Oryctolagus cuniculus: one gene and its partners. The protein of the gene in region 4 interacts with the protein of the main gene of each other region in a biochemical or structural test. Links are inferred from orthologs where the notes say so. Each region holds a gene or a part of one and is shown on either strand. Other genes may lie near its edges. The genes, in order: CTBP1, SATB1, IRF2, KAT2B and histone H2B type 1-B.

Region 1 (4,230 bases), on a different chromosome or scaffold from region 4:
CGGGCACCTGAGCGGCTGGCCTCGGGCCGTGCCATGCCACTCCCGAGGCAGTCGGCGCTGCGGGGACGGCGGGGCTGCGGGGGGAGCTCGTACTCGCAGGGACTTTAGGCCAAGCTGGCCCGGGGGGACGAGTCCACTCCCGCCCGCACAGCCTGGTCCCCGCAGCAGCAGCAACACGGATTCAGTGGTCAAACTGCCCCGGATGGACAGCGCCAGGGCAGCTCAGGGGTCCCACAGGCACAGGGACACGGGGTCCCGGCCGGCACCACGCTGGCGCAGGTCAGCCACCAGTGACCCCTGCCGCATCCCTGCCTGTGAGCTCCGAGACATCTCAGACCTGACGCCCACCACACCCTCCCCGCCTCACAGCAACTGGGGTTCACCGCAGCCCGATTAAGAACCCCCACGCCAGGTGAGGCTGCTGCCTGCAGTGCCGGCATCCCATATGGACGCCGGTTCAAGTCCCGGCTGCTCCACTTCCCATCCAGCTCCCTGCTGTGGCCTGGGAAAGCAGTGGAAGATGCCCAAGTGCTTGGGCCCCTGCGCTCATGTGGGAGACCCGGAGGAAGCTCCTGGCTCCAGATCCATGCAGCTCCGGCCATTGCGGCCAACTGGGGAGTGAACCAGCAGATGGAAGACCTCTCTCTCTCTGCCTCCCTCAACCTCTCTCTTCTGTAACTCCGCCTTTCAGATAAATAAATCTCAAAAAAAAGACAACCCCCACACCCTGAACACAAAGCCCAGTGCGGCCAGCCCCACTCCTGCCCCACAAGGGCACCCCCTGCTGCCCCTCACGGCTCTCTGGGGCCTGGCTCCCGCTCAACACACGGAAGAGCCTGCGACGGCCACCCCAGCGTCCACCAGGCCTGCACACAGTGTTGGCAGGGGACATGCAGCCACCCGCTGCCGGGTGGGAACTGAGCCCGTGGGCAGCAGGCACGAGGGGCCAGGGGGACCCACCCCAGGCAGAGGGTCCCACGGGAGGTGCAGATCTGCCACCATGGTCCACCCCCCAGGGAGCTATGGGCCCGCTCACCACACGCGTGTCCTGAAGGCCGCACAGGCTCCACTCTGGGGTGGAGGGCCTAGGGCAGCCCCTGCTTGCCCTCCTGGGGGACGAGTGGACCCCACAGGAAACCTGGCTCTGAGAACAGTGGGGCCCCTGTGGCATCCATACCACAGCCGGCAAGGGAGCAGCCAGGTGGCCCCCACCCCGCCCAGCACCCACACCAGGCACGTGCACGGGGCTCTGGCCGCCCCAGCCCAGCCCAGCAGCCAAGGGGGTCTGGTTTGCAGGAAGCCTGCACCGTGGGGTGCCCGCCGCGGGAGCCCTCACCCTCCCCACCGTGGACACCCTGCTTCCTGGCAGCCCACACGGAGGGGGCTGAGACCCCCAGGCCTGGCTGCACAAGAAGGCCGGAGCCGCGGGCACTCAGACCAAGGGGACAGGGGTTTTGGGGCAGGCACCACCTGCAGGCTCCTGGCCAGAGACCCAAGGGCAGGCGACAAACCCTCGGCACAGGACCCTGACGCCAGCCACGACATGCTGACCAGGCACCAAGACGCTGCCCAGACGGCCAAACCCCGGGCTACCAAGGTCCACCGTGCGGCCTCAGAGGCCGACAGGGCCAGCGGTGCCCCTACTGCCCGGGATGTGGCCAGAACCGGGGCTGAGCCCATGGGACAGTCCCAGTCCCGGGTGCCCCGAGGCAGGACACAGAACACTGGGAAGAGAGGCCCGGCCGGCACCTGCTGAGCGCGCTTGTGGGGTCAGGAGACGCTGGGGAGACCAAGCACCGTCCCCTCCCCGGCCCGGCAGAGCCAGCCCAGGCTGGGGGCAGCCGCCGGTGTGCAGGGCCGCAGAGGCAGGCGCAGCGCCCCACCCGCCCCCACCCCGCAGTCCCGGACTGGGCACACAGGCCAAGTGCAGGGCAGGGCAGGGAAGAGCGCGGGAACCGGAGCCCCGGCCGGGGGCCAGCAGCCCGGGGGACTCGAGCCCTCCGCTGTCCGCGCGCAGACCCAGAGTGGGGGCCTCGGGGCCGGAAAGGCCGGGTCGGCGGCGGGACGCGGCCACTGTGGCCGGGCCTGGCCCCCCGGGAGCCCCCTTTTGCCCTAACCGGGGTTGCTCATCACGAGGGCCAGAAGCGGGCCCCGCGACCCCGGCCGCAGCCCGCCCGCCGGGCCGGACACAAAGGTGGCGCCGCGAGGCCTCGGGCTCCCCGCCGCCCCGGGGAACGACCTGCGTGCTCACTTCCGGGCCTCGGGCCTCGGGCCCCAGGGCAGCCCGCTGGGCGCTCGCGGGGCCGGGGCCGCAGCGCCACGCCCAGGAGCCCGGGGCGGGGGCGGCCAGGGCTGCGGGGCCGCCCCGAGGCCCGCGGGCCCCTTTGTGTCACCTGCGCGGGCCAGGCCGCGCGGCGCACGCGCACGCGCACTCGCTCGCAGCAGCCCGCGCATGCGCGCGGCCCCCGCCCCCCGCCCGCCGGCGCGCACGCGCACTCGCACACAAAGCCGGCGCCCACGGGCGCGCGCCCGGCCCGCCCCGCGCGCGCGTCGCCGCCCCCGCCCCGGCCGGAAGCGCGCGCGGCCTTACCGAGAGGGAGGCCCTTGTTGAGCAAGTGCGAGCTGCCCATTGAAAAGCGCGGGCGGCCGCGGGCCCCGCGAGTCCCGCGCGCTCCGCCGCCGCGAGCCCGGCGCGTGGGGCGGCCTCGGCGCCGTCCGCTGCTCCGCCCGCCGCCTGCGCCGCCGCCGCCGTGCGAGCCGCGCCGCGAGCCGCGCTCCGACCGACCGAGCGGGCGGGGACACGCGGCGGCGCGCGCGGGCGGGGCCTGCGCGGTTGGTCTGCTGGTTGCCGGCGCAGCGCGCGGCGCGGGCGGGCGGCTCGGGCTCTCGGCGCGGCCCCGCCCGCCGTCCTCCGCGGGGTCGGGCCCCGCGGCGCGGGCGCTGCAGGTGCAGGTGCGGCGCCTGCCGGGGGCGCTCCGGGAAGCGGCCGGCGCGGCCCCGCGCTCCGAGCCCCGTGCGGGGGAGCAGGCGGGCAGGTGCGGCGGGCCAGGTGTGCGCCCGCCCGGCCGAGGCCTCCCCCGCGCCTGGCTCAGTCCGGTCCCGCACGCCCCAGGGCCCTTCGCGCGCGGTGCTGTCCGGCTCTTTTTCGGACGCCGTCTCACCCGGGCCCTGTGTGAGAGCCGCGCCAGGAGCCCCGCAGGGTGGGCGTCTCCGCCCGCGCCCGCCGCCCGGACCCCGGACCCCGGGGAGAACCGGGCCGGGAGGCCCAGCGGGCAGCTTGGAGCTCGGGCCCACCCCGTCCTCGGACAGCCCCGCAGAGCCGTTAGGCGGGCGCCCGGCAGGCGGGACTCAGGGCTTGGGTCCGGGTCGCCCGCTGGGGAGTGGCCCAGCCAAGGAAGATTCCCCCGTTCAGAGAAAGCACCGCAGCGCGGCGGATGTGAATACAAACGAACTAATTCCCGCGCGAACCCTCAGCCCTGGACTCCCGCACTCCCGCGGGGGAGGCCTTGCCCCTGGGGCTGGCCGCTTTCCGGAAGAGTGGGCAGTGGAGTCGGGGGCCGGGGAGGGACCCCACCAGAGTGGCCAGAGCCCAGGCCGGCAGCAGGGACCCCTGGCCTTCCACCAGGCGGGCCCAAGGAGGCAGAGGAGCGCGCGTGCAGCCCCCTCGGCCTGGGGGGCTCCCGGCTGCAGGCTCCGGGCTCCGGGGTCTGGGGTCTGGGGTCTCGGCAGCCAGGCACTCACACACCCCCCGGCTGCGTCCTGATGGAACTTTCCACAGCACAGCTCAGCCCGGCCCGACGGCTGGTGCCCAGGTAGAGGCCGCTGGGCCCTGCTGTCTGCTCCCGGGGCTGGCGAGAGCCCCGGCTGGGCGTGGGGCAGGGGCAGTGACCATGGGGGGGTGGGAAGTGGGTGCGGGGGGGCTGGGCAGTGACCACGGGGGGCCGGGTAGTGACCATGGGGGGCTGGGAAGTGGGTGCGGGGGGGGGCCTGGGCAGTAACCACGGGGGGCCGGGTAGTGACCATGGGGGGCTGGGAAGTGGGTGCGGGGGGGGGGGCCTGGGCAGTAACCACGGGGGGCCGGGTAGTGACCATGGGGGGCTGGGAAGTGGGTGCGGGGGGGGGGGGCCTGGGCAGTGACCATGGGGGGCCGGGTAGTGACCATGGGGGGCTGGGAAGTGGGTGCGGGGGGGGGGCCTGGGCAGTAACCACGGGGGGCCGGGTAGTGACCAT
Region 2 (2,194 bases), about 1.8 Mb from region 4:
CACTCTCTGTCTCACCTGCTCTCTGAAACTCTTTCAAAGTAAGTAAATAAACGTTTAAAGAAAATGCTTCCTGAAGAGTTTTTATTCAGAGGGTTCATTTTCCCATTTACTTAATTTCTTACTATTAATAGCCTTTAAAAATACTTATACTTTAGCTTAAGAAAGTGTTGCTACAGTTAAAATACTGTGAAATAAAAGCAGGTTGAAGCACTCTAAGAACGTAACTGTCAGAGTGTGAATGTAGGTTTTTGTTGGAGTTTGGGCATGCTATGTTGTTTATCAAGCAAAATATCAACCAAAAAACATGGTTATCATTTTCATTGTGAAATTTCATAACTCTTTAAAAATGAGCATGTGTTTGTGACTTTTTACAATATTTTAAGTGACTTCTCAGTTGTTCTTTCGAAAAAAAATATCAAGAAAAATAGTATAAACATGCACTTAAGTGAGAGGACCATCCTTTGATTCTTCTTCAAGGTGACTTGACATAAGCAGACAAACCCTACCATGTCATACCATACAAACAATTTTAATTGTGTAGTTACAGTCAATAACCACTCCTAATCAGAACGTTTCTGCATAAAGAAAATTGTGATACACTTATAAAAACAGCCAGCTGTAACAAAATAGCTGGTGTTTTCATAGCCATAAACTCATAAAAAAGAAATACACCTTTATACAGAAATTTTATACAGATGTACCTTTAAAATTGATTGTAAACCAAAGGAAGACACATTGCAAACATCAATTATTTCACATTAATTGCATAATTTTCTAAGGTGATCTATTAGTTTTATTTACCTAAGCTTATTTGCATGATAGTAAAAATTGCATACAACAATAAGAGTGAAGCTTATAGTATGAATTGCTTGGATAACATAGAGCACTTTTTATAGGCAACTGTGTAAAGCACATTTTCTCTATTTAAAACTTTTAAGACACTTTGTTTTACTGCCCATCAAAATACATTTATAAATAGAAAAGAATATCAGTATGGTAACAAGAGAAGCAATATTACATTTAACGGAAACTTCCAAAAAATTAATTACAACATGATGCTGCAGGATCTACAAATAAATAATGAGGACTAAATTGTGTTTCACATTTTCTTTTCTTTTTCAAAAAAAAAAAAATAAAAGGCATGTAACAATGTGAATGAAAAAAATTACAGTGAACTTTTATTTCCAAAATAAAAACAAATTTGAATTACGGCAGTGCCATATAATACAAGGCATTTGTTGGCATATGTCATCTTTAAACTGCATTCCACAGTCTATAGTTCTTTTGTAACATACAATAGAGTAACAAACTCTTTTTTTTTTCTTTTTTAAAATAAGGGGCAAGTTTCCAAAGATCATAATTAAAGGAAAGGAAATCATAATCACAGAAGTTATAATGCTTGTTTGAGGCTCCAGAATAATAATCATTGAAAAATAAAAATCACTGGTACCATGCTTACAGGCACACACCTTGGTGTGTTCCGTGAACACAAATTTTAATACCAAACAATCCTCGATGCTTCACCTGGGGCTGCGAGCAGTTTGTAAAACTTTAGTGCAGTCTGCATGACTCCTCTCCCAGCCTTCCTGTCTGTGCGAGTTTCTGAAGATTCATTGGCCAAACAATGAACGACAAAGGGTTTCTGAGAGAATGCAAGGTGGACTTCTCATCTTGTTAGTAAATACCAGTGGCATTGTTGAACGAAAATAATACTACTATCTCAGTCTTTCAAATCAGCGCTAATGTCTGTGTTCCCTTCCACGGACAGCTCCTCTTCTAGCTTCACCGAAAAAAGGGTGTTGGCATTTTTGTCTTGGACACTCTCTTCCAAATCCTTGAGCAACTCCTCTTCCTTGTACTCTGCCACATCCACCTCGAGACCGGAATTGTCCTTCAGCTTGCCGTGGTGCTTGAGATAGTACCGCTGGTTCTGGAAGAACTTGATGATGGTGTACTTGGGGAGGTCGAGCTGGGCCGACAGAGTCTGGATGGCCTCTTCGTCAGGGTACAGGCCCACGTCTTGGATGAAGCTCTGCAGGATTCCCAGGGCTTCCACCGAAATTTTTGTTCGCGGCCGCGTCTTCTGCCGGTTCTCCTCGTCGGACTCTGCGGGCGAGGCCACGGTGGGCTGGCGAGGCGGGAGCCGGGGGCCCGCCTGCGGCTGCGGCTGCGGCTGCGGGGGTGGCGGCGCTGG
Region 3 (4,264 bases), on a different chromosome or scaffold from region 4:
CGGCAACCATTTGTTTGCCATAATTTGCTTCCAGACCCTTCCTTTTGATGAAGATGACATTGTACAGGTAAGTCTGAAATATGTGGAACTGTCTCTAAGTTTTGAAGGTCAACAGGAAAAATACGACTCCTTGAGAATGAAATATGTACGTGTTTAATTTAAAGAAGCAGTTACAACTCATAACAATGCATGAGAATTCTCCCATCCAAGAGGCCAAAATCTCATTCCTACCCAACAGGCTGTTATAAATTATAATCATTCGCTAATTACAGTGAAATTCTGGACTTTGCCACACTAATCAATAGATGTTCCAAGGTCACAATCTAAAGGTGTCAGTTGAAATGCTAAAAATTCCATCTACTGAGGTTTCCTTAGGGAAGACACAAAGTTTTCCCAGGATTTTTTAGATTTCTATTTTTTCTCCTCCCCCCCCCCCCCCCCCCCCGCCAACCCCATGAATGGAGGGATCATTCCGGGAAAATCAGGGCCCCCTGAATCTGTGTGTGTGATGAAGTCCAACGGGATCGCCGCTGGGGCCCTGGCAATGGAGCAGGCATCTGTCTAACATCAAGACCATCCGCCCCTGTGTCTGATACCAGACCCCTGTCTGCACCTGCCCTGGAGCACCAAAATGTGCAGGCTGCCAAGTGCAAGGGGTGCCCGCAGTGCATCTGAAAACCAATCAACGTCTGCACGCAGGACTGCAACCCCGATGATTCCTGAAAATCCACAACAGGAAACGTAAGTATCCTCCACCCTCCCTGGCCATTCATCAAAAGCAGACCGAATCACAGCCACGGGGCGGCCACGGGCAGAAGGCAAAGGCCGGCACTTTTCCTCGTTTTAGAAGGGCTGCATTTTCTAATTCCACAGCCAAGGACGGGAAGGAGAAGGCTGAAGACCGCGGAGCGGGCAGTAAGCCCCCAAGTTTCAAACACCGTGGGGTTAGCAGCCAGGGAGAGCTACCGCGCTACATACACAGTCGGCCCGGCGGGTCCTGCCTACGCCGGCCGCCCCCGGCGCCCCAGCGGTGCCCAAACACGCGGCTCACGCCCCGGTCGGGCGGCCAGCCTCCGTCCCTTTCCCCCCTTCCGAGGGGACACGCGGGTAAGGGTGGCAAACGCACCGGGGCCAGCGGGTGCTGCCGCCGCGTTCCGGGGAGGGCGGGAGTTGCCAGCGACACCCTGTGAACTTGGACAGGCTCCCCGGGCCCCCGGCGGGTGCCAGCCCCCGGACCGTGCCGCCGGGAGCGGCCGGGCGCCGCGATTGGCTGCAGCCGGCATCGCTCGGTGGGCGAGCCGGGGCGGGCGAGGCGGAGAGGAAGTGGCGGCCGCGGCTTTGCACCAACCATGTTCGGCCGGCGGGCGAGTGTCACCCGGCGCCCACAGCGGGGTCGGAGGGCGCGGGGCGGGCATTCCCGTCCCCACCCCGCCGCCGCCCCGCGCCCCAAGCCCCCCTCTGGGGGGACGCCGGCCCTCGCGCCTGCCCTCCCGGGCGCCGCTCGGTCCCCGGAGGCTCCCTGCCCCCACCTCGCCCGCTCCGTAGCCGAGGCGGGTCAGGCCCAGCGCGCGAGGCCGGCCGGGGGCGCCGGCGGGGACCCGGAGGCGCCCGGCGCTAGGCCGCGGCCGGGGCAGATGACCCGTCCGCGCGGCGCCCTCCCGAGACGCGCCGCCTGAGCCCCTCGCGCGCCGGGACAAGTGCAACGACAAAGCCCCCGGGCCAGGCCGGGCGCTGGCCGGCGGGAAGGAGGACGCGGCGTCCCTCCAGAGTGGCGGCGGCCCAGCCCCCAGGAAGCCCGGCGCGTCGGCCAGGCCCGGCGCCCAGCCTCGCGCTCCGAGCCCGCTCCGGACGCTGCCACCCGACGCCCGCGACCCTGCCCGGTGCCGGGCGGGTGGGCGAGCCCCCAGGCTCAGCCGCGGGGCGCCCCTTCAAGTTTGCTGTCGCCGGGGCGCGGGCAGCTGGCGGACGGCGGGTGCCCGCTTATTTACACTGGCGGCTGCCGCGGGAGAGGCGCCGCCGCCGGCACCGAGGAGGACCTGCTCCCCGCCTTCGGGTCTGCTGGCGGCCGCGGCTTGTAAACACACATACACGCACACGCAGACAGGACAGTTTTGGTTTTAAATGAGGCCCTGCTCCAGCGGACCCGCACCCCGACACACGACACCTGAGGTACGGAATCACACAGAACAGCTCTGTGTCCATGGAACCACTTCTTCGCATCTGCAAATCCAAAAGTGAAATTAAACCTCCACCAACCTCCTCCTCCTCCCTCTCTACCTCCTCCTCCTCCTCCACCTCCTCCTCCTCCTCCTTGCAGCCTCAGCAGCCCCAGTAGCAACAGCAGCAGAACAGCCGAACCTGCTTCCCCTAAAACCAGATGATCCATAATTGCGCCGAGTGATCCTCCACAAACCGGCATTAATTTTTAGGAACCCCGGCATTTTCCGTCTGCAAAACATCGTGTCAAAAGCATCAGGACACGCACACGCAAACGCACAGCCCCCACCCCCGGCCCCGTCAACAAGCCCTCGAGAGAAAACACACGCACCGTCACAACTATTATTTGGCCAAAAAAAAAAAAAAAAATGTTACCTTCTCCGTGTGCTTTTTCACGCTAGCCGTGCAATCCCGCAAGGGCTAAGTGTTGCTAGGGTGTGGGAAATGGAAACGAAAGCCCGTCAGTTGAATAATCGCGGGAGCAAAACTAAAAGTTACTCCCCGGCTGGCCTGAGAACAGTCCAGATCGAAAGCAAAACAAGGAGAGGAAACTGCGAAGCGCCGCGGCTGGAAATCCCCCCGCCCCCCGCCCCGCTCGCCGCCGCGCGCCCTCGCCCGCCTCCCTCCGCCCGCCTCCTCCGCCCTTCCTCCCCAGTGTTTGTCTCGGCCTTGTGCAACCGGGAGGCGGCGGCCGAGGGCGGGCGCGAGCGGCCGGGCCGCGGGGCGCGGAAGTTCGCCGCCGCCGCTCATTGGCTCGCGGCGCCGCTTTCATCGTTTCTCGGAAAAGTCGATTTCATTTTCACTTCCCCACGTCGCGGGAGCCACGGGCGGCCGCGCGTGAGTCTAGCTGCTCGCGCACAGGGGCGCTCGCGTTCCCCGCAGCCGCACGCGCGTGAGGGCCCCGGGTGGGGAGCGGGCGCGGGCGCGGGTTTGTTGGGGCGGGGGTCAGGTCAGAAGCTGGTGCAGGCTGGGGTGGGAGCGAGGACGGGCAGGTGCGGGCCCTGCGCGTCCTCGGGGTCGCCTGGCGCTCTGAGGAGGGGGACCCGAGGCGGGGAGCGTGCGGGGCGCGGGGACGGGAGGGCGGCAGCCGGTTGCTGTGGGGCAGCAGAGTGTAGCACTGCCCACCTCGAAGGAGCGAACGCGGGGCAGTGATGTGAAAAGTCGGCATCCCTGGCGCCCCGTGGGGAGGCTGGCGAGCGTGGGAGTCGCTGCTCCTCAAAGATGTGGTGGCCGGGGTCGGGGCCTGGGCGGAGACTGGATGCTTTCTTAATTGGCCTCTTTAGTTCACTCGCTGAGCACCCTCGGCCTCAGGTTTCCAGGCCGGGGATAAATGGGAGAATAGAATACAGGTGCCTCAGCCGCCACCTCTAAGCCCAAACTCACAGCACTTGGGACCCAGTCCTTTCTCATCACTTGCATAGGAGAGGATAGGCGCACACCGATTAGAGCCGCCTCTCCCCATGGGGGGCTTAGGCAAACGGCTCGTCCCTTCTCTAGCTATTTCTTCTCATATTATTTCCAAAAGTAATAATAAACTCCAGCACCTGTCTTTGTCACAGAAGCATTGAATTATGTGCACTGGATAAAGAAAAGTGTCGGGATATGCACGTGTGGTGGGGCGGGAGCTGAGGATCTAGTGTCCCGTTTTGTGGCTATGGACTCCAGTGGGTCTCATATACGCACATTATTCATTGTCCCCTCTGTCACAGCGACCCAGACACTCACTTTTCTTAATTTGTATATCCATGACGCCCATAGGGGCAGACACACAAACTGTAGGATAGTTGTCACTCTTCACCCACCCTGAGACCCAGATCTCTCTCTTTTTTTTTCGACCAAAAAAGTTGCCTCACTGTATTTCCCCTGGAATGTGAAGAAGAAGTGGGGAAGAAGAAAGAAGAAGGGAAGAAATCATCAGGGTGTCGGTTTGAAATTCTCACTCTAGGCACACATGGGACCCAGATCTCGCCTCGCAGCCCCAGGAGTGCAAGAAGCAATAGCCTGGTGTCATGGCACCCGCAGGTGCTGCGTTCCCTGAGTCTCTCAA
Region 4 (3,518 bases):
AGAAGAAACTCCTGGCTCCTGGCTTCGAATTGGTGCAGCTCCAGCCATCGTGGCTAATCGGGGAATGAACCAGCAGATGGAAGACTCTCTTTCTCTCTCTCTCTCTCTTGCCTCTCTGTAACTCTGCCTTTCAAATAAATTTAAGCAAATCTTTAATAAAAATATGAAGCAAACTTCATAGAAAAGCATTTAATGAAAGTATCAATTATTACTATTACTGTGGCAAAACTGAGTCTCTGATCATCAAGGAGTTGCATTCATAGAAGAGAAAACATGTGGAGATAGGGTGGTGTTTTGCACAGCAGTTAAGTTGCTGCTTGGGACATGAGCATTCCATATCAGAGTCCTTGGGTTAAGTCCTGGCCCTGCTTCCAATTCCAGCTTCCTGCTAATGTGCACCCTGGAAGGCAGCAGGTGTTGGCTCAAATACTTAGGTACCTGGCAGCCATGTGGGGGACTCGGATTGAGTTCCAGGATCCTGAATTCAGCTCTGGCCCATAACTGGCTGTTGTGGGCATTTGGGGGAGTAAACTAATGAATGAAAGATATCTCTCCCTCTTACTCTCTCTGCCTTTCCAAAAAATCAAATAAATAATTTGTTTCTAAAAAATCGAAAAGCTATGCAGAAAAAACGGGGCTAGGATAACAGGAGGTAAGTTATCATATGCCACAACAGTTCTCAAATGCTACTGCACATTACAGTCACCTGAGGAGCTTGTAAAAGTCCCAATGCACCCTCAGCCAACTACACTCTCTCAGGATGGCCCTTAGAAAAATCAGTATATTTCAAATCTCCATGGATGACCCCACTGCGCAGCCATGTTTGAGAACCAAGGAGAGAACGTATCCAAGGTTTTGTGAAGGCTTGAAAGAAAGGAGATCCAGTTCTTGCTGAGGGGAATGGGAGACATTAGGAAAGGGTTTGCAAGAGAGATGACATTTGAAAGTTGGGTAAGACAAAGACAAAGACAAAATGAATAGCACAGGTACAGAGAGAACAACGCAGAGGATGTGTCCAGTGACCACAGAAATATATCCAGTAAATGCTGATCACTTAAGTGTGCAGGGAGGATGTAATAGGCTCAGCTAGGTCTCAAAGCACCACAGGATTTGGACCAGAGAAACATGGAGTTATGACCTAAAGTAAAAATGGACACAGAGACGTTTTTGACATATTTTGGTACAAGAGTTAAATCAAAAAGGGTTTGATCCAAATAAAATATCATTCCCTATGTGCTCTGCTTTGTAGACATTTAATCATATTTATACCCAAAACATGAGCTCCAAATAAAATTTTTTAAATCTTCTCAAATACATTATGCTAAATGAAAACCATCCTATTCAAAAAGTACATATGATGCAATTCGTAGGATACACTGGAAAAGGTAAAATCTACACAAAGATTAGTGGTTACCAAGGCTAGAGATAGGACAAAGAATAGACTACCAATGGGTACAAGGGAATTTGTTTGCAGTTTATTCTGATAATTATTGCATTATCAAAAATATTTGTCAAAACTCACAGTACATTAAAAAATGGGGGGAATTTAACCCCAATTTTTTAAAAGCCAAAATAAAATGAACTTTGCTAGAGGCAATATTCACAAGCCCCCATATTACACATGGAACTGGCGCTCTACCAAAAGCTACTGATTTCAAAACTGAGAATTTGTCTTTCCCCCTAGCCAGATATGAATTGTTGTTTTGGTATTTCCTGTCAACCTTCTCTGCTGAGTCTTCCTACTATCAAAGGCAGCAATTCAGATCCTCTTTCTAAAGTTACTGTTACTCCAGAAGACATCTGTTTTTTTATAAAATGCCTACTAATGTCATGAGCTGATTCAGGACAATAATGGATGCTCTGACCCAGCAGGAAGTACTTCACAGCCTGAGATGTGGGACTGCCTTCCTCCCATTCTCCCAGGACTCCCTCTGCTCCCATTACTCTTGGTAGTAACTTCATGTACAAAACAAACATCACAGGTTAGAGGCCAGACTGTCACTTGATTCCTGGGCATGTTTAGCCATTAACTGAGACTATCAGTGACTTTGAAAAGAGCCAGCATTGACTACAGAGCTGAGCTGCCTGGGACTTTATACCACCCATTAAATTGTAATGTGAAAGCTAAACAAATACTATAGTTTTGTTGTTTTAACCATTTGGTCTGCACCTATACTCACTAATACAGACATAACTCAGATTTTGGTCTGCACCTGTTTTCTCCTCATTAATAGAACTGCAGATGGGTGATATGCAAAAGTGTTTGCTTTTTGCTGGAGATAGTCTTAAATTTCCTGGTGAAAAATAAAAATACCTGCAGAGCAAGCTACACCTACACTTCATGTTGGTTTTCCTGGTTATTCTATGATTTATATAAAAAGAAATTTACCTGTTTGGATTCCTAGTTGGCTGATTCTGGAAGAGGCTGAGAGAAAATCCTGATCCCAGATGGGAGAGTTTTGACTATAAACTTCTTCTTCTAACATGGATAGAAATCTAGACATAATAATAAAAACAATAGTAAGATTTAAAAAGAAAAAATGAAAATATTAGTAGAGGGACAAAAGCACTAATCATCTATGGCTATCACCTTCAAATCAAATATGCTAGAAAATTATTAACTTAAATGACTCAGTTGGGCAGCCCTAGGATATAGAAATACAGAAATCCATTTCTATAAATGTATCCTCTTTTGACCCTGCAAAACTGGAACATCTTACTGAATCCTCATGTCAACCCTAAGAGTTACATTAATTTATTTTAATTTATTACACACATATATAGCTCTTAGTATTGATAGGCAATGTTGTAAGTGGTTGATATATTTCAACTTACCTGATCTTTATAATGACCCTATAAGAGAGGAACATTACTATCCCCTTTTATACAGATGAAAAACCTAAGACAAAGAGAGGTTAAATAACTGGTTCAAATTCCCCATCGAGTTAATGGTAGAGTCAGAACTGGATCCAGTTATTAAACAATATGTTAACTTCCCCCATCACGTTATAAACCAAATGGATCTCAGGTTTTGGGAGCCCACAGAAATCACTGAGGGAGAACTTGTTAGAAATCCAGATATTCACAGCCCACCTAGGCTTACTGATTGTCTTTCAATGGAGAAAAACAGAAATATCTAAAGCACTGAAAGACTACTTTTAGTAGAGCAGAAAGGCTATAGGTGGTACTTTTCTTCACTCTTTCTCTGTGAAGCCAATTTTCATCAACATGCACATTTATTATTTTTATAACAAAGTATGAAACTTAAAAAAATCTTATAAATAGGCAGGAGGAGGAAAAACACAAATTAGAGGCAAGTGGAAGACAAGGCAGTGTGAGAAGATTGGGATGGAAGTCCTGAGAACACATCTGGGAAGCAGAGACTACTGGGCAGTGGGAAGCTGGTTCAAGCTCTCTCTGACAGTGGTACCCTGGACTCAAACAGCACCTCCGACTTCAGTATGTGTGACTCTGCTGCCAAAACTCTAGGTACAAATCCCCAACCACCTCAAATGTTG
Region 5 (2,528 bases), on a different chromosome or scaffold from region 4:
GCCAACCTCCGCCCCGACGCGCCCTGGCCCCTCCCCTCAGCCAGTGGCTGGCCGCGAACCAGGAAAGGCGCGGGATTCAGATCGCATCCTGACTCCAGCCAGTATCAAGGCTCCATTCTTGAGAAAAATCCGCCCCATCCAATAGGTGATCCATGGATTTCTGAAGACTCAAGGACTGCTTAGCCGACGTGATTAGTGGCTACAGGTAGGTAACAGGGAGAACTGCAGGAATTTCACTCCATTTCACTGTCGAGGAGCTGGAGATGTTAGAGGGGGCTCTTCAAAGCTCATGCGAACCCGAGTTCACGAAATGCGCATCTCCCATCACATCGCGAACCCCAGTCCCCGACCCCGACCAAAGTGCCCTAAGGTTACTCAGCGCCGACCTGCACGGGATAAACACGCGTTCTGGGGTCGTCACTAACGCCAGCCCTAACACCCGACCTAAACCCACCTCAACAGGAGCAAAATACAAGGACGTCGGCCACAGCTCTATTTGTGAAAGAGTTGGTGGCTCTGAAAAGAGCCTTTGGGGTGAGGGGCGGCGGCGCCAATTCGGGAGCTCACTTGGAGCTGGTGTACTTGGTGACAGCCTTGGTGCCCTCGGACACGGCGTGCTTGGCCAGCTCACCAGGCAGCAGCAGGCGCACGGCCGTCTGGATCTCGCGCGACGTGATGGTCGAGCGCTTGTTGTAGTGCGCCAGGCGCGAGGCCTCGCCGGCGATGCGCTCGAAGATGTCGTTGACGAACGAGTTCATGATGCCCATGGCCTTGGACGAGATGCCGGTGTCGGGGTGCACCTGCTTGAGCACCTTGTACACGTAGATGGAGTAACTCTCCTTGCGACTGCGCTTGCGCTTCTTGCCATCCTTCTTCTGCGCCTTTGTTATCGCCTTCTTGGAGCCCTTTTTGGGGGCGGGAGCGGATTTGGAGGGTTCAGGCATTGCTTTTAATATTGGCTGAGAGACTAAAACAGACTCAGTCTACAGCTGATTAGTGATGACAGGCCGGAGTGCATATATTTATAGTCCCGTAATTCAAATGAGGGTTTGAGACTTCTCACTTCTGATTGGACAACAAAGAAATTTTCTCTAGGGGGGTTGTTTATGCAAATAAGGTATCCGGGTTGTCTTTTCCTATTGGGCAGAAAAGGCGAACCTATTTCGACCAATAGGATGACGTACTGTAGTAGCCCTGCGCTGCTTATAAAAGCACAGTCTTGGCGGGTATGGTTTTCTTTACTTCAGATTGCGAAGCGTGTTTGGCTGTACCATGTCTGGGCGTGGCAAGCAAGGCGGCAAGGCGCGCGCCAAGGCCAAGACCCGCTCCTCCCGGGCCGGGCTCCAGTTCCCCGTGGGTCGCGTGCACCGCCTGCTGCGCAAGGGCAACTACTCGGAACGCGTGGGCGCCGGCGCCCCAGTGTACCTGGCGGCCGTGCTCGAGTACCTGACGGCCGAGATCCTGGAGCTGGCGGGCAACGCGGCGCGCGACAACAAGAAGACGCGCATCATCCCGCGCCACCTGCAGCTGGCCATCCGCAACGACGAGGAGCTCAACAAGCTGCTGGGCCGCGTCACCATCGCGCAGGGCGGCGTGCTGCCCAACATCCAGGCCGTGCTGCTGCCCAAGAAGACCGAGAGCCACCACAAGGCCAAGGGCAAGTGAAACCACAGTAAAGACGACGCAACTCTCGCTTTGAAATACCCAAAGGCTCTTTTCAGGGCCATCCACTGTTTCACAAAAAAGCTGCTAACCCTGACTGGAATTAGTCCTTCCCATGGTGATAGCGTTAGCGCTTAAGAAAACTGTGGAAACAAGTGAAACGTGTATTTATTGTGACGGATGAAAGGCCACACAGTGACGGGGGGTGTGTCAGTCGGGAAATAGCCCCCGAGGTGCAGCTGTTTCAAACGTAAAACGCGTTTTGCCTTAAGTCAGGGCACCTTTCCGTGGCTCAGTGTTTATCGGGCGCTATTAGACGGCAGGCCCAGGTAATTAGGGATTTCGGGGTCCACGCTAGGGCCTGTTACTGAGGTAATCTCCCTCCACGGTTAGGTACGCTTCTGAGATGGAATGATCCAGATGTTAGAAAACGTCTACCATCCCAAACGGACAGTGGATGAATCCGGCCAATCAGGTTGTCTGAGTGGACCAATCATCGAAGTTCCTCCTTTAGCCAATGAGTTTGTCGCGCGGATTTTTTGAAAATCCGGAAGCCAATCACAGTAGTCCTAACGATATTTAAAGGCAGCTCTGTCGCCGCAGACAAGAAGTTTGAGTCCCACCGGCGCGAGATGGCTCGTACTAAGCAGACAGCGCGCAAGTCAACAGGCGGCAAGGCGCCGCGCAAGCAGCTGGCCACCAAGGCGGCCCGCAAGAGCGCGCCGGCCACGGGCGGCGTCAAGAAGCCGCACCGCTACCGGCCCGGCACGGTGGCGCTGCGCGAGATCCGGCGCTACCAGAAGTCCACCGAGCTGCTCATCCGCAAGCTGCCCTTCCAGCGCCTGGTGCGCGAGATCGCGCAGGAC

The links.
Region 1: the proteins of KAT2B (region 4) and CTBP1 form a complex in vitro, tested with the Homo sapiens proteins (2 studies listed by BioGRID, with this or other methods). The link is inferred for Oryctolagus cuniculus from reciprocal best matches to the Homo sapiens genes KAT2B and CTBP1.
Region 2: of the proteins of KAT2B (region 4) and SATB1, one has a biochemical effect on the other in vitro, tested with the Homo sapiens proteins (2 studies listed by BioGRID, with this or other methods). The link is inferred for Oryctolagus cuniculus from reciprocal best matches to the Homo sapiens genes KAT2B and SATB1.
Region 3: the proteins of KAT2B (region 4) and IRF2 form a complex in vitro, tested with the Homo sapiens proteins (2 studies listed by BioGRID, with this or other methods). The link is inferred for Oryctolagus cuniculus from reciprocal best matches to the Homo sapiens genes KAT2B and IRF2.
Region 5: of the proteins of KAT2B (region 4) and histone H2B type 1-B, one has a biochemical effect on the other in vitro, tested with the Homo sapiens proteins (3 studies listed by BioGRID). The link is inferred for Oryctolagus cuniculus from reciprocal best matches to the Homo sapiens genes KAT2B and H2BC3.

What each region holds. Positions count from the first base shown.
Region 1 is NC_091433.1:418,945-423,174, forward strand, and holds the start of CTBP1 (C-terminal-binding protein 1), read right to left. Parts: upstream 2,817-4,230; 5' UTR 2,591-2,816; intron 1-2,590. UniProt on the Homo sapiens protein: Corepressor targeting diverse transcription regulators such as GLIS2 or BCL6. Has dehydrogenase activity. Involved in controlling the equilibrium between tubular and stacked structures in the Golgi complex.
Region 2 is NC_091435.1:153,910,935-153,913,128, forward strand, and holds the end of SATB1 (DNA-binding protein SATB1), read right to left. Parts: coding exon 1,721-2,194; 3' UTR 511-1,720; downstream 1-510. UniProt on the Homo sapiens protein: Crucial silencing factor contributing to the initiation of X inactivation mediated by Xist RNA that occurs during embryogenesis and in lymphoma.
Region 3 is NC_091433.1:66,289,402-66,293,665, forward strand, and holds the start of IRF2 (interferon regulatory factor 2), read right to left. Parts: upstream 2,811-4,264; 5' UTR 2,593-2,810; intron 2,449-2,592; 5' UTR 2,420-2,448; coding exon 2,359-2,419; intron 2,222-2,358; exon of another isoform or gene 2,165-2,221; intron 1-2,164. UniProt on the Homo sapiens protein: Specifically binds to the upstream regulatory region of type I IFN and IFN-inducible MHC class I genes (the interferon consensus sequence (ICS)) and represses those genes. Also acts as an activator for several genes including H4 and IL7.
Region 4 is NC_091435.1:155,739,379-155,742,896, reverse strand, and holds part of KAT2B (histone acetyltransferase KAT2B), read right to left. Parts: intron 2,497-3,518; coding exon 2,390-2,496; intron 1-2,389. UniProt on the Homo sapiens protein: Functions as a histone acetyltransferase (HAT) to promote transcriptional activation. Has significant histone acetyltransferase activity with core histones (H3 and H4), and also with nucleosome core particles.
Region 5 is NC_091436.1:153,352,437-153,354,964, forward strand, and holds histone H2B type 1-B, read right to left. Parts: upstream 1,273-2,528; 5' UTR 945-1,272; coding exon 564-944; 3' UTR 508-563; downstream 1-507. Other genes in the region: histone H2A type 1-B, read left to right, coding at 1,273-1,665; histone H3.1, read left to right, coding at 2,295-2,528. UniProt on the Homo sapiens protein: Core component of nucleosome. Nucleosomes wrap and compact DNA into chromatin, limiting DNA accessibility to the cellular machineries which require DNA as a template.